Linked DNA regions of Elephas maximus indicus. The protein of the gene in region 3 interacts with the protein of the main gene of each other region in a pairwise test. Links are inferred from orthologs where the notes say so. Each region holds a gene or a part of one and is shown on either strand. Other genes may lie near its edges. The genes, in order: ZBTB9, HMG20A, DTNB and SPZ1.

Region 1 (7,999 bases), on a different chromosome or scaffold from region 3:
ACTCTCTAGACTTCAACATGAGCTATCTCAGCCCTGAGTCCTTCTGCCCACTGCAACTTGTTCAGAGTGCAGTGGTGCTGCCCTGGCAGCATTTAGGTCGGTGGCCATCTCCTGAGTCGACTCACATTTCAGTCACTGTGATTAGTATATGAGGGACCAGTGGTGGTGACAAAGGCAGAAAAGAGGCACAGGGTAGTGAGGGAATACCCTCTCTTAAAGAGGGTTCAAGGAATGACACATGGAATGCTCAGTGTGTTAAAGTGCTCAACTACAATATAAAAAATAAAAGTTGGGAAGGTATCTACTAGTAAGAAAGTAAGTTACGATCAGAGAGGCTTCTGGAAAGATACAACAAAATAGGTACAGAAAAAGATCTCTGCTCACATCATTCCAGCAGTGATGAGGGAAGCTTAGAGCTTAGTCATCCATTTACTCAAACTCTGAATCAAGTGTATCTCTACGTAGACACTGGTTCTTTTAACCCTTCACAGAGACCGAATGTAAAATTTATCATCATGTCTTTTTGCTCTAACTCATCTCTCACCAAATAACCCTCTGATCTGAAATTAAGTTTCTTGAATGGACGCCACCACCAGGAAAGGAGGGTCCATTATGGGCAAGTGATCAGTTTAAATATGACCTGTAAACCACCTTCCTATCAAGTGGTTAAGGAGCCCCGGTGGTGCAGTGGTTAAGCACTCAGCTGCTAACCAAAAGGAGGGCAGTTTGAACCCACCTGCCACTTCGCAGGAAAAAGATGTGGCAGTCTGCTTCCATAAAGATTTATAGCATTAGAAACCCTATGGAGCAGTTGTACTCTGTCCTATAGAATCGTTATGAGTCAGAAGCAACTCAATGGCAGTGGGCTTTGGTACAGGGTGGTTAGCAAAAACCCGGGGTGAGATGAGAAATCTGAGTTTCCAAATTGCCAGGCTGAGGCCCACACTGAAGACAGAGGTTATACACAGACCCATAATGTATCTACCCTCTTGACATGATTACAAGATCCAGGATTGAAGTGCAATGATAGTGAGGGGTGAGTATCCATCAGTAGCAGTGGCTCTCTTGTCCTGAAAATCAGTGTATGGCCTCAGAAATCACTTGTAAGTCCAGTGGGCAGTGGCCCAGCCCTGGCCCTTGCATAAGTCCTGATGGCGAAGGAAACAGGCATGGACTCTGAACCTACGGCCACAGTGGGGACAGGCGTGCAGGGCTCCAGCATGGGTCTTCATGTGCTCTGTCAGATGGTGCTTCAGCTTGAAGCGCTTGTTGCAGACGCCACAGCCAAAGGGCCGAAGGCTGAAAGTCAGCATGATGTGCCTGTCCCGCTTTGGCTTCACTGCAAATCGCTTCCCACACAAGCAACCAAAGCGTTTTCCATCTGCAGGGGGTGCCTCTCCTAGTTTCACAGGCCCATGCACAGCTTGCCCTGCTCCCCCAGGTCCTCCACCTCCTGACAGGATTTCATTCCCATGAAGATCCACTGGTTTCCAGGAGGGGCCTCCTCCCCCAGATGGTGCGTCTGCTCCTGAGGGCAGCAATAATTCTAACTCCCCATCTCTTTCAGTGTTCCGAGGGAACACTTTGGTCTCCTCCTTTGTTCCTCCAGACTGAGTTCCACCTCCTAGTATCTCTTCCTTAAGCTCAAAGGGTTCCTGCTTTATGTAGAAGATCTTGAGGGGCAGTGCAGTAGAAGTGGTAAGAGGCTCTGACGGAGCACTCTCGCCCTCTGGAAGCTTGCAGGGAGTAGTGGATTTTGGTGATGGGTGGGATCCATGAAGGCGGGGGAAATCTCCTGACACTCTCTGAGGCTGAGGAGTCTGCGAGAGTGCTTCTGACCCCTGGTCCTCATCTTCTTCTTCTTCCTCCTCCTCATCTTCCTCTACCTGAATCTGTAATACCTCTCCCAGTTCATTTCCCTCCCCTACAACAGGACTCTCCACAGAGGGCGATGACTGCACTGGGGTCTGGAAAGGGGGAGATCGAAGGCACCAGCCTCCTGCAGTGGATGTAGCGGAAAGAACTGAGCGGTATGGGGTTGCTCCACGGGCTGAGAGTCCACCACCTGAGGCTTCTAGTTCTTTAAGAACCTCTGAGCACTGATCTACTACTTGCCACATCTGGAGGCCACTGGCCACAAGGAGGTGGGCAGGCAGAGCATCTAGTGGCAGGTGGAGGCGTCCTGAGTAAATGAGTTGAAGTAGCCCCTCGAAGGCGTCAGCTTCAATGACATTCGGCAGGGTGAGACGCGGTGCATCCCCCAGAAGAAGCTTGTCATGGAAGTAAGGAGAGGCAGCAGCCAACACGGCTTTGTGAGCCCTAAGTTCCCGACCCTGCACCAGGAGAGACACATCACAGAACTTCCCCTCTAGCCTGTGGCGGTTCAGGGTTTCCAGCAGCGATGAGCTATGCTGAGGAAACTCGATCTGGATTGTCCGTGGAGCTGGGTTGCAGACGGGGGAGGGGGCCACAGGCGGCAAAGGCGTCGAGGTATCCATGGCCTCCTCGGAAAGAGAGCGATCCCAGAGGGTGGCCAAGAGGAGAAAGGGGGCTGGGGAGAGATCCCACGCGGGATGAAGGCTGTGGAGGAAAGAGACGGGGGGTCACAGAAGCCCTGGATAAGGGGAACCATGTCTCCTCAAACAACTACCCTCCAACATTTGTCAACTTTTCAGTCTGTGGAGGTTTTGGCAGATTAGTCCCGCACACTTCCCCACCAAGAAAACAAAAAAACAAACAATAACGACAAGTTACCAACCGGGGTTGTAACTTCCAAGGCCTGCGGAATAAGATGAGGAAGTCTCTCATCCACGAGCCTGACCTCGCCAGCTCGGGGTCGCTCCTGCCCCGCCGCTCCGTCTCCCTTCACGGTGCCCGAGGTCGGCTCCGGGGAGGCCACGGCCAGCAGAGACCGCGGGGCCCCGCCCGGCTGCCCTGCCCGCCGACACACCCCCACCGGTACACACGCGGTGTGGACCTAACAGCGCATCCGCAGCTTCAGCGCGGTCCTGGGCCGGAAGTCGCCGCCTCCTCGCCGGACGCCTACGCCGAGTGCAACCAGCAGGCTGGGGCGCCAGCCAATCGGAGGGCGGCAGTCTACAAGCCTGGTATTGACTGGTTGAGCGGGTGAGAGGGGCGGAGCTGGTGCGGTTTCTGGCCTGGCGCCTGGGCCGAAGAGGTGGCTGGGGGACGCTGCCGACTCGGTACGTGGGGGAGCGAGTTGTGAGTCGCCCCGGAAAACTGCGTTTCGTGGTGATGGAATGTAGCGCCCGGCCCCCCATAGGGGCTGAGAACGGCGAGATTAATTGGGCACCTACTGGGAGCTAGATGCTTGGCCACATCATCTTTTATCTTCCCACCAGCTCCTCCACGTAGGTGTTTACATCCTCGGTTTCCATGCAGGAAAACCGAGGCTGGAATAAACTCAGCTGGCAAATGGTGGGCCGGGAACTGGAAACCAAATTTCCTCCATTCCGCACAGGAGCGTTTTCACCAGCAATGAATTAAACAACCCTTATTTCTGGTAATTATTTTTTACTAGGGGGCAGTGGTGGTTAAGTGGTAGCGTTCTTGCCTTTCACGGGGAAGACCTGGGCTTGATTCCCAGCCAGTGCACTTCAGGGCAGGCACCATCAATGGAGGCATAGTGTTGCTTTAATGCTGAATAGGTTTCTGAGGAGCTTCCAGACTAAGAGTAGGAAGAAAGACCTGCCTATCTAACAAAAACCAGCCAATGAAAGCCCTATAGGTCACCAACTGGCCGATCCACAACTTGATCATGGTGATGGTGCAGGATCAAGCGGTGTTGTGTTGTGCATGGGGTTGCTATGAGTACGGCCAACTTGATGGCAGACAGTTTTTTACAAAGTAGTTTTTTTAGGTACATGTACTTGGAATCTTCTATCAGGAGCCCCTCCCCTCCTCCATCTTTGCTCCTTCAGTCTAAGTGGAACGGTGGGTGAGGGCACACTACATTGGGGAGGTTTGACTAGTCCCTGCAAAACCCCTACTCTTCATAATAAAAAAAAAAAAAATTAAATCTCCTTGCTGGGTGGGAGAGTCATTCTGTGAGGATTTGTGCACTCAGAGAAGGATAATAGTCATTTCTCCAGACTGTTAGTCTCCTCTCGAAAAGCAGATCCTACCACCCTGCTGGTCCATCTTGAGGGCCTCGCCTAGGAAAGTCAGCACAGCAATAAAAGAACAATCTCTGTTTATTAAACATTTTTCTGTTTCACCACACACTCCAGAAAAAAAGGAAACGGGGCTGGGAGTGGAGAAAAAGGGACTGTGATGGGGGATAGAGAAGGCTGGGAGTCATGTGGGGAGGGAGAACGAGAAAACAAAATAAAACTGGTAGGAAAAGCGTCCCCTACCCTTAGGATGGTGGGTGGGGAGGGAGTGGAGGGGGGGGGCCGGGAAGCTCTGTACAGAGGGGTTGCCCCCAGCCCACACGCGCACACACACACACACACACACACACCCTGGATATATACAGTACAAACCCCAGATAATTACAACAGCCAAAGAGGAGAGGAGGAACAGGGGTCCAGGGGTAGGGCCTGAGGTGGGAAAGCAGAGGAAAGGGCACAGGGATAAAATTTCACATATTTACAACTTTTATATAAGTATAAATTTGGCCCCGGCTGGGTGTATGTGTGTAGGGAGATGGGTCTGAAGGGGAACTGTCCATACAAAAGAAAGGGCGGAGTCTGGGAAGAGTCTCAATACCAAACGCAAAGGATGTGGAGGCAAGGCTAGGTAGGGGACAGCAGTTAGGGAAGAGGGGGTGCCTAGGAGGGGCTTCTCCCCTCCCATGGCCTACCCACCCCAAACCCCATCCATCCTACCTCCCCTATCCCGCCAGAGAGCTATGTACAGAGAAACACCGAAAAATTCTGGAGCTGGCGGGAGGGAAGGGGGAGAAGGGAGATTGGGGGGTAGGGAGGATGAAAGGGAAGCACAGCCCTGTCCTACCTCCTCCCAGGGGACACAGTCATGGAAGGGGGCCCCCCCAACACCCCTCCTCCATCACAGGTCCCCCCCACCCTGGGGGGAGGGAGACATGGCTTTTCCTAGAGTAAGTTCCCCCCTCCCCCTGGGAGTAGAGACCAAGAAGAGAGAGGGGAGGGGCAGGGGGACTGTATGTGAGGATATGGCAGGTAAACTAGTCTGTCCTCCCCCACATACACACCGTCCTAAACCCCATCCCCTCACTCTAACCTCAATTCCACCCCACCCAACACACTGGGGGAGGGGGGGGCATGAGCCCCCTCACCCCGCTCTGGGACCAGCCGAGAGCAGATCAGGTGTGGGAAGAAGGGAGACAACTCCCATTCCCCCCTTGCCGCCCCCTCCCTGCCCCGGTGGCCCCCTCCACCCCATCTGGGTTCTGGGTGGGAAGGGAGTAAATTTAAGAGTGGTGGGAGGAGAAGGAGTTTGTGCGTGCTGAGCCCCCCCAGACGCTCCTGAGAAATCAAGGGGTAATAGGGCCCCCTCACCCGGGGTCCCCTCCCCATAACAAGGGGGGCAGGGGAGGCCAAAATGGGGCGGTGGAGGGGAGTTAGATTGTCAGCTCTGGTTACTGCTAAAAAATCACCCTGAAGTTGAAAGTTTGGAGGTACCACACCCCCAGGGTGGGGGCGAGGTCTGTCCCCCAGTGCTCAGGGGAACGATGAGGCAGAGGATGGGGATAGCACCCCGGAGTGAAGGGGTCTGTGTGGGGTAGGTGGTGTCCTAGGGCTAGGGTCCCTGGGGGTCACAGAGGGGGCAGCACCCCGACAGGTAGGAAAGGGAGCAGCTGAGGGTCCCCACTCTCCCTTCTAGGAATGGTGCAGTGGGGGTAGGGGATCGGTGCTCCCCAAGGAGGCATCCAGGGAGGCACTCCCGCTGTCCCTCGGTGAAGTCCAGTCCTGGTGGTTGGTGCTGTTCCGGGGTGGAGTGCATGGGCGAGGAGGAGGATGGGTCGGTGATGCTGGGTGGGCTAGTGGTCTGCGGTGTTTCGGAACTCGCCGTTCTCGGTGATCTGTAGCCGGGGTGGGGGGGGCGGGGCTGGGGGGGCCAGGCCGTTCCAAGGTGGGGCCAGCGTCACACGCGGGTTTGTTGGACCCAAGGGGGGAAGCTGCCTCTCCTGCAAGATACCAAAGAGGAGAGCGCGGACTTATTGAGACGCTTCGCGGGAGCCTGGGTGCCAGCCCCCTAGCTGTGGCCTCCCCCATAGCCCGACCACTCCACAAGCCATGTCCCACCCCCTCCCCCCAGGACAATCCCCACCATCCTGTTTTGTTTCTCACCTGCAGTAGAAGTTATGTCCTCTGGAGTCAGGGAGAAGAAAATCTCAACCCTAGACTCCTAACTGGGGCCTTCAACCCAGGGAGTCACACCAGGAAACCAGCTCAAAAGAAACAAGTTCCTACCTTTCCCCAACCCAATCCCCTCTATCTTTACCGCATACTCCCTGCCCAGCCCACCCTCCTTCTCTTGGGACCCGCCTCCCAGCCCACCCCGAAACCCGAGGTAGGAATTTTGTGTTGAGGGAACAAGGGGAGGCAGTACAGCAAAACCTCATTAATCCAAACCCCCATGGATTTGGAATTTTTGTCATAATCTGAACAGAAACTGGGCTTGAGTTTTCCTTTATCTCTGAAGAAAGGGTGTGCTAAGCAAATTATGGTGGAAATGCATCTGTAGGAGGGAATATTTAACCTATACCAGAAAACAGACTTTTCAATCCTATCTATTCATTAACGCATGCTCCCTGAGGGCCTCGAGTGGAAAAAGCCTTGTTCATCAAGTTCTACTTACTGTATGTATTTTGAAGACATGCATTTCATTAAATAGACACTGTCATTCAGTTTTGTCACTTATTCAGAGTGGCCATCTTCTCAAATATAACATTCCAAATTAGAGAGGTTTAACTGTACTGGGGGGAAAGGAAGGGGATTCAGGGAAGTGATTTGGAAAGGGAAAAATGTTGTGGGAGGGATTGCCTCTCTCACACTTCTGGCAAAAAACGACTAGAAGCTTCTGCAGAGACACAGCATGCCCCAATCTCTGCATCCCCAGGAAGCAGAAACTGGCTCCATTCCTTTCCACCCCCATCTTCTTTTTAATCCCTCTCCCTGGGATCCCAGCTAGAGAGTGAGAGGTACCAGACCCTACTCACTCCCACCTCTGGTCCTATTCTCATCTCCTCCTACTAATCCTGGACCAATTCTTGCTTCCTACCCTCAGCTGAGAGAGAGAAAGAAAGCCATCTGTACTTCTGGGTCACTCACTCGGGTTTTTTAAAATACAGAGTCAAAATTAATTTTAATACTTTCATCTAAAGCACAATAGAAAATTTTTTTTTTTTTTAATTTTTTAATAGCCAAGTCACACAGGGACTGATACCCAGAAGTGGTTTCAAACAAATGTCCAAATTGTTTCCAGGGCCACAGGGCATTTAGGCCTGGCAAAGTAGCTATGCCTGACCATATCCTCCAAGAATACAAAAACATTCCAAGTAAAGGCTCCCAGATGAGCAGCTCTCCCTTCCATCCCAGGATCAAAGAGCTCAACTCTCAGTCACCAAAACCCCAGCCTTGAGCAAAGCTGCCCTCTTAGCTGGCTGGGTGTATCACACACTTTCTCCAAGTCAGCGAGAGGAAATTACGTATGCTAGGGTATCCTGAGATGGCGGGAGAGCAAGGAAGGAAACCTCAGATTCCCTTCTCTCTGCTCATCTGCTGGCGACAGCACTTAGGCATGCCCCCTACACCCCCGTGGACCCAAATTTAGAAAGTAGATAAATTAGGGTGCCATTATTCATTTTACAAAAGAATTCACTGCAGGAGTCCTTTAAATGGTGAGGTCCCCTGGTGCCTTTTAGCATCTGTTGACAGATCACTAACTACTCTGACAGAAAGGCTGGGCAGGCAGAGAGTTAAAATTACAGTGTGAGGAGCCACACTGCCCACTGCAGATCAATCCCACAGAAAATAAAAAAAAAAAATAAAAA
Region 2 (7,346 bases), on a different chromosome or scaffold from region 3:
CCCCCTCCTCCATATCTCTCATCATTTCTCACCAGAAATGGCTTCCTAACTAATTTTGCTTTGTGTTGCCTTTCCCTAACCCAGCATTCACTGCACTGCCAATATAACATAGGTCTAAAACACAAATCTGATTCTATCACAGCACAATGGAATTTTTTTTCACTAAATGCTGAGCTTTTAAAACTAAGTTCCTTAAAACTGTGTCTACCTATGGCTACTTAGTATCTGACATGTCCAAATTGAGATGTGCTGTAACTATAAAATACACACCAGATTTTGAAGATTTAGTGTGAAAAGAATGTCAGTGTCAGTAACACTTTTTATATTGATTACAGGAGCCCTGATGGCACAACTGTTAGGCACTCAACTGCTAATGCAAAGGTCAATGGTTGGAACACACTAGCAGTGCCACAGAAGAAAAGACCTGGCAATCTGTTTCTATACAGTTTACAGCCTAGGAAACCCTATAGGGCAGCTCTACCTGCCCTACAGGATTGCTATGAGTCAGAATAGATTCAGTAGCATACAACAACATATTGATTACATGTTGAAATGACAATATTTCAGATATGTTGGATTAAACAAAATACCGTATTCCATACCCACTGCAGTCGAGTCATTTCTGACTCATAGCAACCCTACAAGACAGGGTAGAAGTGCCCTATATTAATTTCACTTTTTTTTTTTTTTTACTTTTTTAAATATGGTTACTAGAAAGTTTAAAATTACATATGTGGCCCACATTAGATTTCCATTGGACAGTGCAGGTCTACGAGGCCCACATTAGATTTCCATTGGACTGTGCAGGTCTACAATGTCCTTCCGCTCTTTCTGAGCTTAGTTACTCCTACCTACTATTCAAGATTAGTTCAGGTAACCCACTAAGATGCATTCCAGGACACTCCCTAGGACCCCAAATCTGAATCAGCTACCCTTTCTCTGTTCTTCCATCCACAGGAACCTGTGTGCATCCCTGTCATACATCACGCCATATTATAATTATTAAAAACTATCAGCTATATTTCCCCCACTAAACTATAAGCTCCTTGCAGAAGGAGATCTCATTCAACATATACTCAGGGCCTACCACCATGCCTGGCACTTAGAAGGAACTCAAAACATTTGCCAAATAAATATGAGCTACTTATTCTGGCCTGAAAATTCACAGAATTTCTCATTCTCCAAAGAGTTTCCCAAGGAAAACAAACAGGCAGTGAAGGAGACTAGACTTTCTCAGGACCTCTAGTCATGAAAAGACTGGGGGGCGGGGAGAAATTACCATCAAGACATCAGCAATAAGAAAATTAAGTGCATGACACACACCTGCCTCTTATAGTGAAAAAAGGGGTTTGCAGCAGTGATGTGAAGCCTTGAACTCACCCTTGGCATGCCAGGGGCCACAGTTTGGGTCCTAAATTACTTAAACAATCCATCCAACAAGAATATGATTTGGCAGGTTTCAACACAAACAGCTAGAGCCCACCACCTATTCCACTTTAACAGTACATCACTACAGTTAAAAAAAAAAAAAAGAAAAACTCTCTCATGAAATAAACGCTAATCTCATGATGCTGCACCACGGAGCAATTTAGAAGAGTTATTATACGAAATGTGCCAAAGCATGAATTTATGGCTGATGCTTATTTGGCAAATATGGTTGGCACTGCTAGATGTTGAAAAACATGCATGCAAATAAGCAAATAAAAGTTTTTAAGCTCACAGACTTAAATATTTACATTACCATAAATGTACAAAGATAAACGTTTATATGAATACATATATAATGCATTCCAGGAACACATTTTTTAATGTGATTGTCAGGAAACAGTTATAAAGTGGTATTATTTCTTTACAGGCCTCAGGGTAGATTCTTAAAAGTGCATTCCGACAGAATGTTAATGGGGTACGAACACTTCATGGCAGTTTCTCTATGGTATCGCTGGGTAAAATGAATAAAAAAAACCAAACCCAGTGCCATCAACTCGATTCCGACTCATAGCAACCCTATAGAACACAGTAGGACTGCCCCATAAGAGTTTCCAAGGAGCACCCGGCAGATTCGAACTGCCAACCCCTTGGTTAGCAGCCGTAGCACTCAACCACTACACCACCAGGGTTTCCGTAAAACGAATAGTCATAGTATAATAGTTCAAAGCAATCTTATCTTTTCCTTTCCCAAAAACACTTCTCTTCCCATCCTGGAGCCTAACCAAACACAGATGTCAGTCCCTAAGTGGGGGATGGAGGGGACACAACCTCTACACATCAAAAAGCCTTAAAGAAAATAATTTGACATTTTCCCACATAATATAATCATATTAAAGTCTCCAAAATAAAGACATATTTCCCTCTCTTCCTCTCTGACATCTATGGAAAGATTATTTGTTTTTTCGCATAGTTTGGGAGCTTGTCATAGCCAAAACTCACTAGCAATGGCATGAATTCTGCTTCCATTGTTAACCATTAATCTCTGCGTTGAGGCTATAACTCCCATCTTTGAAAGCAAGAAAGTGTACTATACCTGCCATTAGTTTACTAAATGAGTCACCAAAGAGAAGAAGTGCCAGATACTTCAGAAAGTAATTAGGGCAGTCAGTGAATTGAGATATCTAGAAATGCTCTGAGATTACAGGAGAAGCCATCATGAAGCAAGTAGCCAAGATTGCTCCTGGAAAGTTTTACCCCTGTGGATAATTGACGTTTTTCACTTCCACACTGCAGAGAGCAATATGAGTTCTCCTGCCACAGACACTATAACACACATCACTTCTGTGGGTGAATAATAATCAGTAAGCAGGCCTCAAAACAAAAACCTCAAGACAATCCCAATTCAGGTGAAAAGCTGTTCATATACATCATCCAAGGACCTAAAAATAGTCTTTCATGTAAGTCTCCAAGTATTCAATTCAAAGTATAATCTTACCACATTTAACCGAGACAGAAGATAAATGTAATAAAGATGAAATCATAGTTTTCCTCTAACTCATCACTAACCCCTCAACGCCAGCCTTCCAATAACCCCATTCCACAGCTCTCAAATTCCCGAACTTGAATCTTAAAAAAACAACCGATTGCAAGAAAGTAACATTTAAGGGGGGAGTCCCTCTTTCCTGTTGCTCTCAGCAGTCTTTAATGTAGTCACAAGATGAAAGAGAAAAGCAACCTTTCAGGCGGATGGTGCCTGCGAAGGGGAAATTCTGGGCAGCAAGTCCTCGTCGAAATAGGAAAGAAAAGTTGCAAGAAAGGATGAGTCAAAGGGCAAAGGAGAAACAAACGGACCAACCGAACCACTTAAATCCCTCAAACCACTGAGTCAACCAGCATGTTGGGGGCTCACCAGCCGCTGCGCGAAGGGAGCCAGCAGAGAGCCCCTGGGTTTCGTCCTGACGCGGCTGGGGAGGTTGCGCCGGATCCTCCCCGGTTTGGGAGCGGGACGACCGTGCAGACTTAGCAGGAGCGAGAGAAGCCCTTCCTGCCCCAGCCTCCCCCGCGTACAGCTTCTCCAGGCTTCGCTTTCCCCCGCAGCTTCCCAGCCGCGCCCGGGGCGTCCTTCGCCGCCAGGTCCCAACTTTCCCTCCTCTGGGGGGCGCCGCGCTACCGGGGCCGCCGCCGAAGGAAGGGGAAGAAAGGGGCGGCCGGGGCGCAAGGGGGCGCGAGGGGGCGCGCGGCGCCGGCGGGCCCCCGAGCGGCGGGGCCACTAGGGCCGGCAGCGTGCGATGGCAGCCGCAGCCGGAGAGCCCGCGCCGGGCGGGACGCACCAGCCGCCCAAGCCCCCGCGGCGGCGCCAGCCAGACCCCCGCCGCCCCGCCCGGATTCCCCCGGGTCAGCGCCCTCACCCCGCGGAGACCCTGCTCCCACCAGCCGGCGTGTGAGAAGAGGCGAGCGGAGGGACGCGTGCAGCCCTGCCCCCGTTACCTGAAGGGCGCACACGCCGCCGCGGGGACCACCATCGCCGGCTGTCCCGTCCCCTTCCTGGCGACCACGGCCGCCGCCGCCGAGCAACTGACACTGACTAACAACAACTAACTAACTACTCGCCGCCGCCGAGTCCACCGCGCGCTCCCGGCCGCTCGCCACCCGCCCAGCCCACCAGCCCGCCCGCCTCCTCCCAGCCCTGCGCGCCGCCCTCTTCAAGCTCTGCCCGGGAGCGAGCACGCGCGCGCGCCCAGAGCCTCGGCCTCTCGCCCCATCGTCTGTAGCCTCAACCCCGTGGGAGGAGTCGCCGCGAATCCCCTCCTCTCCGGTTCCCACCGTCAGAGGGTGAGACGTAGAGAGCGCTCGATTGGCCGAGGGGGGCGTGGCCAAAGCCAGAGGGCAGGACGACCGGGACCTTAGCGCTCGTGAGGGGAGATTTAGATTCAATTAAGTTCCAGAAGAAAAACAGGACAAAGTTATTGGCCTATTTGAGTTCCGAATCTTCTTTGTCAGCCTGCCGTCGAATACATACTCTGTGTTTTCAAGGACTCCAGAGTGTAGTAATAACCAATTCAAGTCCCGCTACTTTCTGCGCCTGTTAGCGATAAAAGCGAAACTACAACTCCCAGAAGCCTTCGTGAACTGAGTCTCTCTGTGCGTATTCACGTAGTCCTTCGCCGCAATTGAACAAAATAATCCCTTCATCTTTCTGAAGGTATCGGAAATAATATTTCATTTTTCTACTGATCGGGACAATTTTAATTGTTACTGTGATAAGAGAAGTTACCTATAGGAAGGTGATTAAGCGATTAGGTAAAAGGGAAAGAAAGGACACCAAATAAAGTGCTGCGGAGGAATCTTTGTCAAACTGTGAGAGGACGGCGTGCGAAGAATGAAGGCGTTTGAGAGGGGCTGAGGGAATTGTCCTCTGTGCGAAGGACTTTCTTTAGGCCCCAGGCCCCTGCCTGCCCTTTTCATCAGCAGGTCAGTAAGCAAGGCGAGGCTGGGGGTGGCCGTAGTTGAGGTGCCCTTCTACGCTTGAAGATCATGCCTCTATTGCCGTTGTTGTTATTGGTTTGCCTCGGTTTGAGACTAACTAAATGGGGGCGCCTCACTTCCGGTTGGGGGAGGGGAGGAAACCTGTCATGGGGGAGGGGAAAACAACGCATTTCCTGTGGGGGTAGGGGGATAGTTTGGGGTTGTGGAACCCGCTTCCAGGTCGGATGAGGGCTTAAAAAGGTGGTGGGTGGTGCTGTTTGCATCGATGATATCTTAGAGTTTTGGGATTGTGTTTTATATAAGAAGTTACGTTGTCCCACCAAGTCGTGCTAATCACCCGCCTCCAGTTAAATGTGTTTTATTTCCACATGTAAGATGGGACATTTCCTCCCCAACAAAATTTTCTTAATGTATTCTTACTTCAAAGAATATGAAAACCCTTGTTAAAATTCCCTAAGCGACGGCGTGTTTTGCTTGTGTGACTCATGGATTGTCCACCCATGCTCCCGTACTCAAGTCCAACCTTGACTGAGTGAGGGATGGTGGTCTCTGCCTTGACATGCCTCGAGAACGCTGTAGCTACTCTTTTAAGGAGACGGTGTATTAGAGGATTGAATCTTTCATAAATTATAAGGCATTTTTACTTCGCCAGAGGGAAAGTGATATAATGAAGTAGTGAAATATTTGATGTTACCTTAGCTAGTATAATTGGCATCTTTAATTCTTAGATTTTAGGCTACAGGTTTTGTCCTGTGCCTGAGAACAACTTCCTCAGCCTTAAAAATTCTTACACGTAGTTGACATGTAGTATTTGTGCAAGTTGTGTTTCAATTCATTTCCCCCTTGTAATCGAAATTCACCGATTTAAAAATGATATCTGTTCTTTGTGGTTTTGAAGCATGGTGCCAAAGGTCATGAAACTCAGCTCAGAATTTAAGGAATGAAAAAAATGAACACAAAAAGGGCAAAAGATAAACAAGAATGAACTTTATATTCCTATATTGTCATTTTTTTTCTAGGGAACTATGTAAAGTGGAATAAACACTCAACAATTCTGATTCTTTAGCTTCTGTTGTCAAGGATCACAACACTTGTTCTTGTGTATGTGCTGAAGAAATCTACTTACTAGGAGCTTACTTTGTAAAATCTCAATGATTTTAGTAATTTTGGAATGGATATCTATTGAATGAACCTGGAACTATAACGTCTTTCAAGAATTTTTTTTTTTTAATTTTGTTGTGTTTTAGGTGAAAGCTCACAGTATAAATTAGTTTTTTATTAAAACATTTATACACAAATTATTTGTAGCATTGTTTGCCATCCCTGCAGTGTGTCAGCACTCCCCCCCTTTGTCTTTCCACCCCGGGTTCCCCATGTCCATGTGTCCAGTTTTCCTGTCCATTCCTGCCTTCTCATCTTTCCTTTTGGGTAGGTATTGCCCATTTGGTCTCCTATATTCGAATTCCTCAAGTGTGTTATTACTTGTTTTATAGGCCTGTCTAGTCTTTGGCCAAAAGGTGGACTTCAGGAGTAGCTTCAGTTTTGAGTGAGCAGGGTTTCCCGGGGGCCATAGTCTCAGGGGTTCCTTAAGGAATTTTTTTAAAGCAGTAAAAGCCTGTGTGTTTTTTCCTTTGGAATTGTTAATCTATCTTCAGAATTTGCAGTTACTTTAATTCTAGCTTTTAAAAAGCCATTTGGTTTAGAGTTGATTGTGCAATAATAACACCCAAAGCAAACAAACCCGTTGCCATTGAATGGGTTCCGACTCACAGTGACCCTATGTATATAAATGTTACAGTAAGGAGGAAAAATACATTTTCTAATCTTCTGTAGACTTAAAAGAAAAAAAAAACAGCTTAAGTCTCTAAAATCAATAAGTTAACTTTTGAAAAATCAAAGATCTGCTTCAGCAGCTGATTGAACAGGCAAGACAAAATAAAGTCTGCATTAGGTTAGGCACATATAGACAGGGCTACTTATAGTCTAGTCCAAGTAAGTATCAATAAATTAATTAGAGAGAGGTATTCACTGTCTTCTTTATCACTGTAATGTAGAAGACAATGCACGGTTACCCCAGCAAATTATACTATTTTTTTTTATTGGGAGTTATCGAAATATGGAAGGATTATGGAACTAAATGAAAAAGATTTTTTTAATTCTTTTAAAATATCGATTGAGATACTGCAGCATTGCCTTTTGGAAACTATCTTTGAAAGGCAAAGGAGTTTATTAAATTGGTCTTCATGACATTCTATGGAAGAAATTCAGTATAATAGTAATAAGAAAAATTGCTGCAGCTAAGACTTTAGCAGCTTGAAGAACTGTCTGTTCATACGAAAGCAATATATAAAACACATATCTGAAAGAAGCTGTTTTGTTATAAGTGGCGGTTATTCATTGGTTCCATCAAAGTAGAAATATTAGCAAAGCTT
Region 3 (7,309 bases):
TGAGCCCGGGCTCGCGAGGAAGAGGCTCTGCGTTAGGTGCCGAAGGGGGCGAAAGAGGCAGGTCCTGGCAGAGGGCAGGTAAGGCAGGCAGGCCCTGGCAGAGGGAAGGGAATTTATTTCAGATCACCCCAAAGCACTGTTTCCCGAGGCGCCTAATAGTAAACCTGTTCACCGAGGTCACCCTTAAAAGGAAAGTGTCCTGAGATAGAGCAGGATGCAGCTAGCGAATGCTTGCTGTTAAATTTCTGTGCCAGACGTTGGGATTAAGAAAGAAGACCTTGCACGCTTAGCAAACGTTTATTGATTAGCTACTGTGGATAGAGAGCCATTGTCAGCACTGGGGCTACAAAACAGTATTAAACACGACCAGGATTTGCTATTTAGGCGCTGACAATTTGATTGTGAGGGTATCCGTATAAAATACACAGCAGCATTGAAATTTATGTCTCATACCTTTTACTTTAGGTCTGTTTTATTTCATCCTACTATGGGGTCATTGGAGGCATGAGTTGCTTGGTTTTGGGGATAAAGCAGAAGGGTCAAAAAAGTTTATGGGAGAAATTTGAGTTTCGCAAGCTCTTTTGCTTAACATTTAAAGGGGCATAGGGGAAAAATAAATTTGACAGCAGAAAGGAAGCTGACCAGGACGGTGCCTGGTCCACAAGAGTTGTGCGGTGAATGAAGATACACATTTAGTCTGAGCAGTATTGATCACTCTCCAGTTAGGAAGACTGATGGTCCCTCAAGTTCCTTTTTTTTTTTTTTTTTTGCCATATGAGATCACCCAGGTTCTTAGATCAGGGCATGTTAAAGCAGTGGTGGAGTCGTGATTTCTTGTGGCCATTCTCCTGCTTTCACATGCTTATTGCATATTGGCTGTGAGCAGCTTGCTTCTTGGGCTTGAGATTTTTTTTATTGTGGCTCTTCTCTCCTTTTTCTATCACTTGAGGAAGAAGAAAAACATTTTTGTTTGGAAAACACTTTTTCATTTTTATCTTGGTTCTTGGGTCTTAGATCTGCAGTAAGATCTACAGATCTTAGATCTGCTATTCTTGAGGGTCAGTTCTACCTGTCTTCTGTCTTGGTTGGATTTTTGGACTCTTGAGCTCAGGGCTGCTGTTTCCGTTTCCTGGGTTGCAATGCCTGTTGGGTTACTTTGTCTGCCAAAATAAAACTTGACCTTTTATGAGCTCTGTTAGGATTTTGAGGAGCCCTGGTGGCACGGTGGTTAAAGCGTTCGGCTGCTAGCCAAAAGTTGGCGGTTTGAACTCACCAGCCTTTCCGAGGGAGAAAGATGTGGTAGTCTGCTTCCATAAAGACTACAGCCTTCAAAACCCTTTGGACCAGTTCTGCTCTGTCCTACAGGTTCACTATGAGTTGGAATTGACTCGATGGCAGTGGATTTTAGCTTGGGTGTGAATTTTTATCATACGTGAGTGGTACTGCCTTTGCAGGGGGTTGTGCAGTCAAGGTAGCGTTGACAAGGTCTTTGAGTGACCACTATGCCCGAGAGACGAAATTTCTACTCAGTCTAGAAAACTAGACTTAGAACCAGTAGAATTTCAACCTACTATTTGCTTATTTTCTATCTTTAATATATATCTCTCAATACCTTAGTTTCCTCATGTAATATTAATCCAAATTTGGCATTGAGGAGCCCTGGTGGTACAGTGGTTAAGTGCTTCGCTGCTAACCGAAAGGCAGGCTGTTCGAACCCACCAGCCCCACTGCGTCAGCCCTTCTGCGGGTGACGTATGTGGCAGTCTGCTTCACAGTTACATTTTTAAAGATTTATAACCTTGGAAACCCTATGGGGCAGCTCTCCTGTATCCTATAGGGTCACTAAGATTTGGAGTGGGTGAGAAAGTCATGAAGAGATACTTTCTCTTTAGTTCTAGGGCTGCACTTCAGGGTAACTACTAGTTCTTGTTTTCGGGTGCCTCGGTCCTGCAATTTTGGGTGTCTTGTTCCAGGCTTCCCTAATGGTATGATATTTATTTATGTTATTTACATTTATTTTTAAAGCGACTTTATTGATGTACGATTTGTATATGATAAAATGCACAGATTTCCTATGGACAGTTGGATGAGTTTTAACAAATGTTTATACTTTGTAACTACTAGCTCAGTCAATATGTAGAACACTGCCATCATCCGAGAAAGTCGACCTAGCCCCACGTTTCATGTATTTGTAACTACACGAGTATCAGGACTGTGGCATCTAGTTGTGCAGGTTGTATACAGCCCAGCTTTAGCGAGTGCCTGGCAGTTCAGATCCACCAGCTGCTCCTTGGAAATCCTATGGGGCAGTTCTACTCTGTCCTGTAGGGTCGCTATGAGTTGGAATTAACTCGATGGCAATGAATTTTTTTTCATTTTCATCAGAGTCGCTCCTGGAGTTGTGTAGTACACAATATGTGTGGCTCTGTGCTGCAACACTTCTAAGGGCTCATGAATACACACTTGCTTGTGAAACACTCAAATTGTACAAACAAAACCCTCCTTGAGCCACGCCCTTCTCCACAGAAAGTACAGTTATCAGTTTGTTGTGCTCCCTCCAGACCTTTTTTTGCCTTTTCATGTGCCCATAGGTAATACAGGAGCCCTCCTGTGTACAGTGGTTAAGTGCTCAGCTGCTAACTGAAAGGTTGGCAGTTTGAACCCACCCACTGCCCCATGGGAGAAAGATGTGGCAGTCTGCTTCCATAAAGGTTACAGCCTTGGAAACCTTATGGGGCAGTTCTCCTCTGTCCTATAGGGTTGCTATGAGTCAGATCAACTCAGCAGCAGTGGTTTGGTTTTTTTGGTTTATAGGTAATACAGAAAAGACCAGGGATCCCCACCTACGTTAATGACATCATACCATACCAATCGTTCTGCAACTTTTTTTAAACTAATAGACTGTCTTTGAGGTCTTTCCATGTTGGAGCAGAGGGATCTACCTAATTCTTCTTAACTATTAATCTCTCAAGTAGCATGTATGCACTCTAACTCAAAACCGAACTCACTGTCATCTAGTCAGTTACCGACTCACAGTGACCCTATAGGACAGAGTAGAACTGCCCCATAGAGTTTCCATGGAGCGCCTGGTGGATTCAAACTGCCGACCTTTTGGTTACCAGCTGTAGCTCTTAACCACTATGCCACCAGGGTTTCTGTATCACTGTAGATTATTTAATCCTCTTTTCACTAGTGGGCATTTAAGCTGTTTATAGTCTTTTGTTTTTTCACGCATTGCTGCAGTGAATAAGAAGTAGAATTACTGGGTCAAAGGGGTGGCGCAGATTTTAAATTTTAATTGGTGGAGATTTAACCATGTTGCTACTTTTGGATCTGGTTCGCTTATTTTTGACTGCAGAGAGTATTCACCTGTAGACTTCATCACAGTTTATGTTCCCTTTTACTCGGTGAGGGTCAATTAGGCTACTTTGGATACTAACTCTTTGATGGATATGGGTTTTGGAAATGCATCCTGCCAGTCTGAGTCTTGTCCTTCCCCTTGTTAAAGATGCCCTTTGTTGTGTACAAGTTTTCAATTTTCATGTCTGGTTTAGGAAAGTTTTCTCTATCACAGAGTAGGAATTATATAGTCCTGTATTTTCTTCTGGAAACCCTGGCGGTGTAGTCGTTAAGTCCTACGGCTGCTAACCAAAGGGTCAGCAGTTCAAATCCGCTGGGCGCTCCTTGGAAACTCTATGGGGCAGTTCTGCTCTGTCCTATAGGGTCGCTATGAGTTGGAATTGACTGGACCGTACAGGGTTTGGTTTGGTTTTGGTATTTTCTTCTAAAAATTTTGCTTTTCACGTGGAATTTGTTTCTGTGTGTGCTGTAACAAAGAGAGAGAATTTTTTTCAATTTCGTAACTAGTTTTTCAGCACTCTTTAATTGAGGATATCCCTTCCCCTGCTGATTTGACAGCCACCTCTATCATAAGTCAAACTCTCTGAGCCTGTTATCTTTTTGGTAGTTGGGACATCTTGGCTACAGATTTCGTTTTTTTGATGCTTATTGGTTTACTTATATTTTTTTCTTTAGTCAATTTTGGTCATCCTTTTCTAAAACAATTATCTGCTTTAAATTCTGAAATATATTGACATATTTATGTTATTTAATTATATATGTAACATACTTTTATGATTTAAAAAAATCTTTGCCATATCTGTAATTCTTTTATTCCCCCCGTGTTGATTAGCTCTTTTTCTTTATGCTTGATCCATTTGACTTGAATTTTATTTGTAATTAGTTTTTTCCTTCAAAGAACAGATTTAGTCTATTTCTTAATTTTCTATTTAATTGATTTCTTCTTTTATCTTTCTTATATTCTTCCCTTCTTTCAACTTAGAGGTAGGCTTTAGATTTTTAAAATTTTCTTATGGTAAAATGTAAGAGATAGGTTGTATCTGTTTGTGCCCTCCTTTCCTGTAAGACAGACAAACACCCCTGCCCTTGCCATGAGATTGCCAGTATCTTCTGGGGAAGGAAGATACCTCTATTGTGTCGATATCATAGTTAGCCATTTGAGTTGCTTTGGCTAATGAAAAATGAATGGAGGTGATATTGCATGTAGCCACCAGTTTTCTTTCTGTTTTCCCTCTGCCTTGAGAATGGTACGTCCCAAATAGTGTATGTTCCTTCAGTCTGAAATTTAAATGAAGATGTTACATGGAAGACAGCCACAGCTGACCTGTAGCCGACATGTATCACAAATGAGAAATAATAAGTCTTTGTTTAAGCCACTAAGATTTTTGGCTGTTACTAGTTTTAACCTAAAGAAAGTTGATTGATATAAAAATAGGTTCCAAGGATACTATGGTAAATTATATTACTGCTGCCGGTTACTTGCTCACGTGAAGAGCTTACCTGTGGGAGGCATGTATTTCCTGGCCTCATTGTTAGGTTTGGCCACGTGACTTGCTTTGGCCAATGAAATTTGAATGGAAGTGGAAGATGCTAATTCTGGTTCTGAGAGGGGAGCTTTGAGAGCCATTGCATGCTTCTGCCAGCTCTCTTGTACTTTTCCCTCTGGCAGGAGAATGTCGTGTTCCAAACAGGGGCTGCTCCTTCAGCCTTACCCTGGCACGAAGGCGTGTGGAGCAGAGCCAGAGAGACCTGTAGCTGCTTCAGCCTGCATGTATCGTAAGAAGAAATAACCTTTTGTTACTGTAAACTGCTGAGATTTTGGGATTGTTTTTCCCTTAACATAATCTAGTGAAAACAGATTATGTTTGCTGTTCTTTTTCTAATTTTATAAGTTGAATCAATGCATTAATTAAAAAAATGTTCTTATATTTTAATAAGTGCACTTAAGGATACAAAGTTTCTGCTGAGTACTACTTTTCTCCTGTATCAAGTTTTGATTGTATACTCTCTTTGCATTGTTTGATTCTAAATATGTGATGATTTCCTTTATGATTTCCACTTTAACCCTGAGTCATTTAGGAAAATATCTTCTAATTTCCAAACATTTTTTTTAAACTAATTTTTTTTTTAATTGTTGGGTTTTATTTTAATTGCACTGTGGTAGAGAAAGTGGCCTTATGGAAATGATTATTTGTAATCTAGTGTGATTTCCTTTGTGACTTACTCGATTTTTATAAATGTTTTGACATGTATTTAGAAATAATGAATATTGTCTATTTGTTGGGTGCAGGGTTCCATATTACTGTTCGATAAGCATATTAGTTTTTTGTGATTTTTCTATATCCCACCTAATTTTTTGCCTTTTTAATTTATCCATTTTGTATATAACTATATTAAAACCACTTACTGTGGTTGTAGAATTATCAGTTTCTCCTTGTAATTCTCTTAGTTTGTCTTTATATATTTCTAGTTATGTTGCTAGGCTCATGTAAGTTTATGATTGTTGTACCTTCTTGGTGGATTGCTTTATAATTTTGTAGTGTCTTTCCTTGTCCTCATAATGCCTTTTCCCTTAAGATTTATGTTGTTTGATGTCAATGTTGATATTTATAAAATTCTAGTTTGAAATTATTTTCCTTCAGCACTATTTTATGATCTTCTGGCTTTTTTGTTGCTGTTGTTATTGAGAAAAGTCTGCTATTGGTCTACTTGTTATTTATTTGTAGATAGCCAGTCTTTTGTCTCTGGTAGTTTCTAAATTTTATTAGTGATGTTTTATAGTTTTACTGTGATATGTTTAGGTATGGATTTATTTATTTTGCTTGAACTGTGGAATAGACCATCAGTTGCTCATATGCAAGTTCAGGTGAAGCTGAAGAAAATTAAAACAAAAACCAAAATATGACCTTGAGTATATCTCACCTGAATTTAGAGACTATCTCAAGAATAGATGTGACACATTGAACACTAATTACTGAAGACCAGATGCGTCGTGGGATGACATCAAAGACATCATACATGAAAAAAGCAGAAGTTCATTCGAAAGACAGGAAGAAAAGAAAAGACCAAAATGGGTGTCAGAAGAGCCTCTGAAACTTGCTCTTGAACATAGAGTAGCTAAAGTGAGCAGAAGAAGTGACCATGTAGAAGAGCTGAGTAGATTTCAAAGGGTACCACAAGAAGATAAAGTATGATAATGAGACATTTAGAGACCTGGAGTTGGAAAACCAAAAGGAAAGAACATGCCCGGCATTTCTCAAGCTGAAAGAACTGTGGAAGAAATTCAGGCCTCAAGTTGCAATACTGAAGGATTCTATGGACAAAATATGGAACAATGCAGGAAACAGCAAACGAAGATGGAAGGAATACACAGAGTCACTGTACCAGAAAGGATTGATCTACATTCAGCCATTTCAGGAGGTAGCATATGATCAAGAACTGATGGTACTGAAAGAAGAAGCCCAAGCTGCACTGACGGCATTAGCAAAACACAAGGCTCCAGGAACTGACAGAATACTAATTGAGGTGTTTCAACAAGTGGATGCAATGCTGGAGGCACTCATTCGTCTATGCCAAGAAATTTGGAAGACAGCTACCTGGCCAACTGACTGGAAGAGGTCCAGATTTGTGCCCTTCCAAAGAAAGGTGATCCAACAGAATACAGAAATCATCTAACAATATCATTAATATCATATACAAGTAAAATTTTGCTGAAGATCATTCAAAAGCGGCTGAAGCAGTACATCACCAGGGAACTGCCAGAAATTCAAGCTGGATTCAGAAAAGGATGTGGAATGAGGGATATCATTGCTGATGTCAGATGGATCTTGGCTGAAAGCAGAGAATATCAGAAAGATATTTACCTATGTTTTATTGACTATGCAAAGGCGTTCAACTGTGTGGATCATAAAAAATTATGAGTTGTCTCATTTTGAAATTTTATTGTTAA
Region 4 (5,771 bases), on a different chromosome or scaffold from region 3:
TTTGTATCGCTGTATCTTCCTCTCCATATGGAAGATCTATGATTACGTTTTCTTAGTTTCTCTTTATTGTTTTAATGTTGTCTTCTTTTATACAATAACATCACTGTTACCCTGTTTTGAGCTTTTTTTTTAAAATCTTGCTTAGTTTTTTTGATTTCCCTGCCTGGGTTGACTTCTGATTGCTCTGCCCAGTGTTCTAGTCTTGGGTTAATACCTGATATTATTGATTTTCTAACCAAAGAACTCCTTTTAGTACTTCTTATAGTTTTGGTTTGGTTTGGTTTTTATGAATTCCCTAAACTTCTGCTTATCTGTAAACGTCCTAATTTCACCTTCATATTTAAGAGAGTTTTGCTGGATGTATGATTCTTGCCTGGCAATCTTTCTCCTTCAATTTTTAAATAAGTCATCCCATTGCCTTCTTGCCTACACGGTCCCTGCCAAGTAGTCCAAGCTTATTCTTATTGGCTCTCCATTGTAGGTGACTTTTCGTTTATCCCTCGCTGCTCTTATAATTCTCTCTTTATCTTTGGTTTTGGCAAGTTTGATTATAATATGTCTTGGTGACTTTCTTTTAACATCTACCTTATGTGGATTTCAGTGAGCACCTTGGATAGATTATCTTCTCATTTTTTGTGATATCAGGGAAGTTTTCTGGCAACAAATCTTCAACAATTCTCTTATATTTTCTGTTATCCTTCCCTGTTCTGGTACTCCAATCACTCGTAGGTTATTTCTCTTGATACAGTCCCACATGATTCTTAGGGTTTCTTCATTTTTTTAAATTCTTTTATCTGATTTTTCTTCAAATACATTAGTGTCAAACGTTTTATCTTCAAGTTCAGAAATTCTGGCTTCTACTTGCTCAATTCTGCTCCTCTGAATTTCTATTGAGTTGTCTACTTCTGTAATTTTATTGTTAATCTTCTGAATTTCTGATTGCTGTCTACAGATTTTTCCACCTTATTAAATTTTTCATTATGTTCCTGAATAATCTTTCTAATTTCTTCAATTTGCTTTATCTGTGTGTTCCTTGGCTTGTTCTGTGTATTGCCTCATTTCCTTCCTGATGTCTTGAAGGGTTCTGTATATTAATCTTTTGTATTCTGTCTCTGGTAATTCCAGGAATGCAGTTTCATCTAGAAGATCCCTGGATTCTTTGTCATGAGAGCTTGTTGAGGTGATCATGGTCTGTTTCTTTATGTGACTTGATATTGACTGTTGTCTTCGAGCCATCTATAAGCTATTGTATTAGTCTGTGCTTGCTTACTGTGTCGTAGCTTCTTGCTTTGTTTTGTTTTGATATGCCCAAATGGGTTGCTCAAGTGAGCTAGCTTGATTATCTTCACCTTTGGAGCTCTGACGTCCTGTCCCCAGATGGCTAGAGCTGTTGTTAGGTATATCAGTCTAGGAGTCCATTCACTTTTATTGTATGAATTCAGCTCAGTTGTCCAGGTAGCTGATCATCAAGTGTGTGGCACAGGCTCTGTCCTACAGTCTTAGAGGGGCGGGGTAATTGGTGTATATACTGCTATCTGATTACAGCAGGGGATCACTCTCTGAACAAGGCAGGGGGCTGAGAGCTGACCCCAGGTGTCTCTGAGGAAAGCGCGTCCCTGTTCCCTCGAGCATGCAGGTGGGTAGGTTCTGCAGATGGACCATGGTCACCCAAAGTTTTTGGTTGTAAGGACTGGGAGGTACCAGTTATCCTTGGACCCCTGTCATGGGTGGCTGGGTGACCTGAGTGGAGCTACTAGTCCTTAGGTCCCTGATGTGGGTAGGTGAGGACACTGTTTAATAGGCAAAGAAATGTCAAATATCAAACACCCGTCTCTACACTGCACAGCTGAAACAGTTGGAGTCTTCCAACAAGGGTCTAGTCTCCTGAAATAGGCCCACACAGGTCCATGCAGAGGGGAAAAGTGCTCAAAGTCCACAGACTGTTTATGCCTGGACAGGAGCTGCTTTTGTCCTGAGCTTCCCCAGTTAGTGGAGCTGGCAAATTGTCTTTTCCCCCAATTGCATTTTTTTTTCCTTCTCCAAGGACAGGAGGATGGCTCCAGGTGCACAACTGGGCCTATCTCAGGCCCAGGGAATTTAGCCACTGAAGCCGGCTTGGGGGTCGGGGGCATGCTAAAACATACGCAAGTACTTAGCTTTTGGCGAGAGTGCCATTCTTCCCTGGTTCCAGAGGTGTGAGTAGGCTGTGTGGCTGGCTGCTTCTCCCTGAGGAAATTGTGGCCAAATGCTAGTCACCAGCCTGCTGCCACCACCACCTGGGAATGGTGCCTGATGGCTCCCCACGATTCAGGTCTGGTAACTCCTCTCTGCTTCTGAACCCTCTTTTCCTCCTCCTGCCCTTCTGTTTGTTTTCTAAGCTTGGCTTTGATGCTCAGGGCTCCTAGCCTGTCATAAATATACTCATTTCACTTGTTTTTTTGGGTCTTTGTTATAAAGAGGGCTTGCCAGAAGCGTCTGTCTATCTGCCATCTTGGCTCAGCCTTCCCCATAGAGTTTTCTAGGCTATAATATTTACAGGAGCAGATTGCCAGGTCTCACAGAGCTGCTGTGTGAATTTGAACCTCCAGCCTTTTGATTAGCAGCCAGATGTTTAATCATTTGTGGCACCAGGGCTCCTCAGTACCAAATCAGAAATGTCTCCTTATCCTGGAAATTAAAACACAAAACAAACAGTCTTAATTGATTCTTTAGTCAAAGGGGAAATATAAGCCAAAGTGGGACCTTGTGAGACAGAATTGAAGCATAAGGGCAGTCCCCAGCCCCTGTGGAATCATTGGGTGAATTAGAAAAGGTGTTCCCTCTTCAAGTAAGAAAGATCAACACTGCTGTACCTGTGGATAGTCAGATTACCGCTCCAGGGCCAGCTGGCTGGGTGATGAGCATGAGGCTCAGGGAAATCAAAGCCAAAGTCAGTTGGTGGCTATGGAAGAAAAACAGATACATTTCTCTCCTCTTAGGAAAAAAATACTATTAGAATATGAATTTTCCCTTAAGATTGGAAGCAAACTTCTAGTTCATAAAATGCTTGCTAGCAAGATTTTTCAAGGCCAACGAAAGATCTCAACATGTGGGGCGTTTTTCTTGATTGAACTTAATGTTTTTAAGATCCTGACTCTTAAGGACCAAAAGACAAAAATACGCTAGGTTTAATACTCTCCAGTTACTTTTCTATAACCCATTATATATTTAGCCCTTTCAAACACGTTAGATAAATTACGTATGTCGTTTTAACAAGTTACTGTGAAAATAAGTGATTAAAGTTTTATATCACTTGATGTAAATAATTTAGGAGTAAGCTTACTCAGCCTGTCTTAAAGGATACCTGTATTCAAAGCCAAGAGAAGTCCTAATTTTTAATTATGTTGTTAAAGAATCATTTGGATAGTCTCTTCCTATTGCATTACAGTATATTGTAATGGAGTTATTCCCCCTAAAATTACAAACAAATACTGTAATTTTTAATTCTGTATTGTTTGGATAACTTTCTTTTACAGTAGCATCTCTCCTAGAATGGGAGCAACAAGGTCTCCGGGTTCCTTGGGCTATGCACTTAGGTGGCAGAAAAACAGGTGCCACGGTGGAGTTTGGAATTGTGGGTAGTGGGGGTGAGATAGGGGAGTCACTGAAAACAGGTGGAATGAGATGAGTAGAAACCTAGAAAAATAAGGTGAGGAAGGACTATCATAGAGGTCCTTCTGGCATGGGAGGTAGAGGTAGCTCAAGGTTGATTTTGATGCATGAGTCACTGGGCAGGAGTTTAAGAGGCTTCCATTGTGACACGGGAGACAGAAGCTGGGATAGGCTATGATGATGCTGTGACAGAATAAAGACCTGGTTGCTAGGGCCAGAGATTAAACACCAGAAGGCTGGTGGAGGAGATGGAGCCACAGCTCCTGGTCCCCTTTCCCACCCTCCTTCACCCCAGGCTGTCTGAGATGTCATCTTCCACCTAAATATCATCTCTCCAGTTCCCAGTCTTCACTCTGGTCTCTAGCTTCTGCTTGGTTCCACATTCTCTACATACTTCCACAGGGGACCTACACCTTCCCTTCCTGGGATCTCTTAAGGTTTTCTGCTTTCCTCTTGCCCTGATTGCCAGCCCTGCTAATTCAGCTGAGATGGAAGCACCCACCCTGCCTGAAACCTTTAGGCTTCCTCCTGATCTTCATCAAGAGTCTTGGGACCCTAGGATGATCATCGCCTTATTTGAAATTGGATCAATATCCCTTTTCTTCTGGAGTTCTCTCCTTTCTCTAAAGAAGAATAGCAATCAAATTTCTGAACAACTGACTGCACAGAAGTTTGAAAAGGTCTTAAACAAAATTGAAGGTATCCTTAAAAATATTACGGGTTTTGAAAAGACCACAGATGCAATAGTATCTTTTGAGGACACCACTGTTTCTGATGATGCCTCAGAACTTAAAGAAAAAATCAGAAAACTTGACCAAATAAATAAAACACTATTCAAAAATCTGCTTACTAGTTTAGACCCAGAGAAATTCCAGAGTGCAAAGAAACAGGAAAAGATATTGGAAAACCAAAACTCCGAGGACACGGTACATTTTGCAAGGGATCTGGTAAATCATTCAGAAGAAAAAAGAGCCCTTAATGAAACTCAACCAAGTAAAGAGAAAGCAAAATATGGATTACTTCATGCTCAAGAAGAAAATATCAAACTTAGGAACAACATGGAGCAGTTACTACAGAAAGCAGAACACTGGAGCAAACAACATACTGAGCTCAGTGGACTAATAAAATCGTATCAGAAATCTCAGCATGACATAAGAGAACTTCTTGAAAATAATGGAGTCCATTTCCAAATCCAACCAAATAACAAGATGTCAGCTAATTATGAGATGGAAGAACAAGTGAGGAAATTGCAACATGACACTTACTCATTGCATTTGACTGCAGCTTTATTGGAGAATGAGTGCCAAATCTTACAACAGAGAGTAGGGATTCTCAACCAACTCCATTATGAGAAAGAGAGAGCGCAGACAGACAACGAACAGGGCAAGAAAGAAAAGAAGCCATCAGAAGCAGAAAAAGTAGGAACTCATAAGCAGAGAATGAAACAAATGGAGGGTACACTTCAGAAAAGAGACAACTTTTATATAAGGCTGGATGTTTGTCGTAATAAGAAAGCTCACAATAACTGGTTCAATTCTCGTATTGCAAGAAGAGGCCTTGTGGGAAAAAAGAGGTCAGCCAGCAGACCAAGATAGAAAATACCAAAAGTAAAAGAAGAGGCAATTCTTCAAAAAGTTGTATACATCCAACTCCAGGCACGAGCAATCATCAAACCTAGGTTAGATTTCTTGGATTAACCAAGAAAGAACTATAGAGCAGGAAGACTAACACACTATTCATTACTTCAGTAATTATGTAAGTTTGGTCTTTAATGATCATTAGTGCCAACATTAAGTTCATAATTTGCCACCTTTGCAATCTGCTTGGCTTTTATAGTTAATAGAGATCTTATAATGCTTTAATCAGGATTAGAATTTATCAGGTCAAATTAAGTAAAGATTTAAATAAAAATCGGGATGAGCCAAAGAAATTATTTATTCTTTATTAATCATTACCTGAAGGGAAAGTTTTGGAAAAAGAAAGTATAAGGTTGTTTTTTTGTTTGTTTTGATAATATTTTTTGTATTTTCGGTGAAAGTGTACACAGCAAACCAGGTTCCCATTCAACAATTTCTACACATACTGTTCAGTGACATTGGTTACATTCTTCACATTGTATC

What was found.
Region 1: the proteins of DTNB (region 3) and ZBTB9 interact in binary tests that used the Homo sapiens proteins (3 or more experiments, as listed by UniProt). The two-hybrid records come from large-scale screens. The link is inferred for Elephas maximus indicus from reciprocal best matches to the Homo sapiens genes DTNB and ZBTB9.
Region 2: the proteins of DTNB (region 3) and HMG20A interact in binary tests that used the Homo sapiens proteins (3 or more experiments, as listed by UniProt). The two-hybrid records come from large-scale screens. The link is inferred for Elephas maximus indicus from reciprocal best matches to the Homo sapiens genes DTNB and HMG20A.
Region 4: the proteins of DTNB (region 3) and SPZ1 interact in binary tests that used the Homo sapiens proteins (3 or more experiments, as listed by UniProt). The two-hybrid records come from large-scale screens. The link is inferred for Elephas maximus indicus from reciprocal best matches to the Homo sapiens genes DTNB and SPZ1.

The regions. Positions count from the first base shown.
Region 1 is NC_064819.1:96,273,153-96,281,151, reverse strand, and holds the start of ZBTB9 (zinc finger and BTB domain-containing protein 9), read right to left. Parts: upstream 3,022-7,999; 5' UTR 2,809-3,021; coding exon 2,759-2,808; intron 2,581-2,758; coding exon 1,098-2,580; 3' UTR 1-1,097. Other genes in the region: SYNGAP1 (ras/Rap GTPase-activating protein SynGAP), read right to left, coding at 5,984-6,130. UniProt on the Homo sapiens protein: May be involved in transcriptional regulation.
Region 2 is NC_064831.1:66,143,571-66,150,916, reverse strand, and holds the start of HMG20A (high mobility group protein 20A), read left to right. Parts: upstream 1-4,332; 5' UTR 4,333-4,899; intron 4,900-7,346. UniProt on the Homo sapiens protein: Plays a role in neuronal differentiation as chromatin-associated protein. Acts as inhibitor of HMG20B. Overcomes the repressive effects of the neuronal silencer REST and induces the activation of neuronal-specific genes.
Region 3 is NC_064830.1:43,591,087-43,598,395, reverse strand, and holds the start of DTNB (dystrobrevin beta), read left to right. Parts: upstream 1-4,298; 5' UTR 4,299-4,990; coding exon 4,991-5,136; intron 5,137-7,309.
Region 4 is NC_064820.1:85,365,229-85,370,999, forward strand, and holds SPZ1 (spermatogenic leucine zipper protein 1), read left to right. Parts: upstream 1-4,139; coding exon 4,140-5,246; downstream 5,247-5,771. UniProt on the Homo sapiens protein: Transcription factor that binds to the DNA sequence 5'-CANNTG-3'(E box) and the G-box motif. May play an important role in the regulation of cell proliferation and differentiation during spermatogenesis.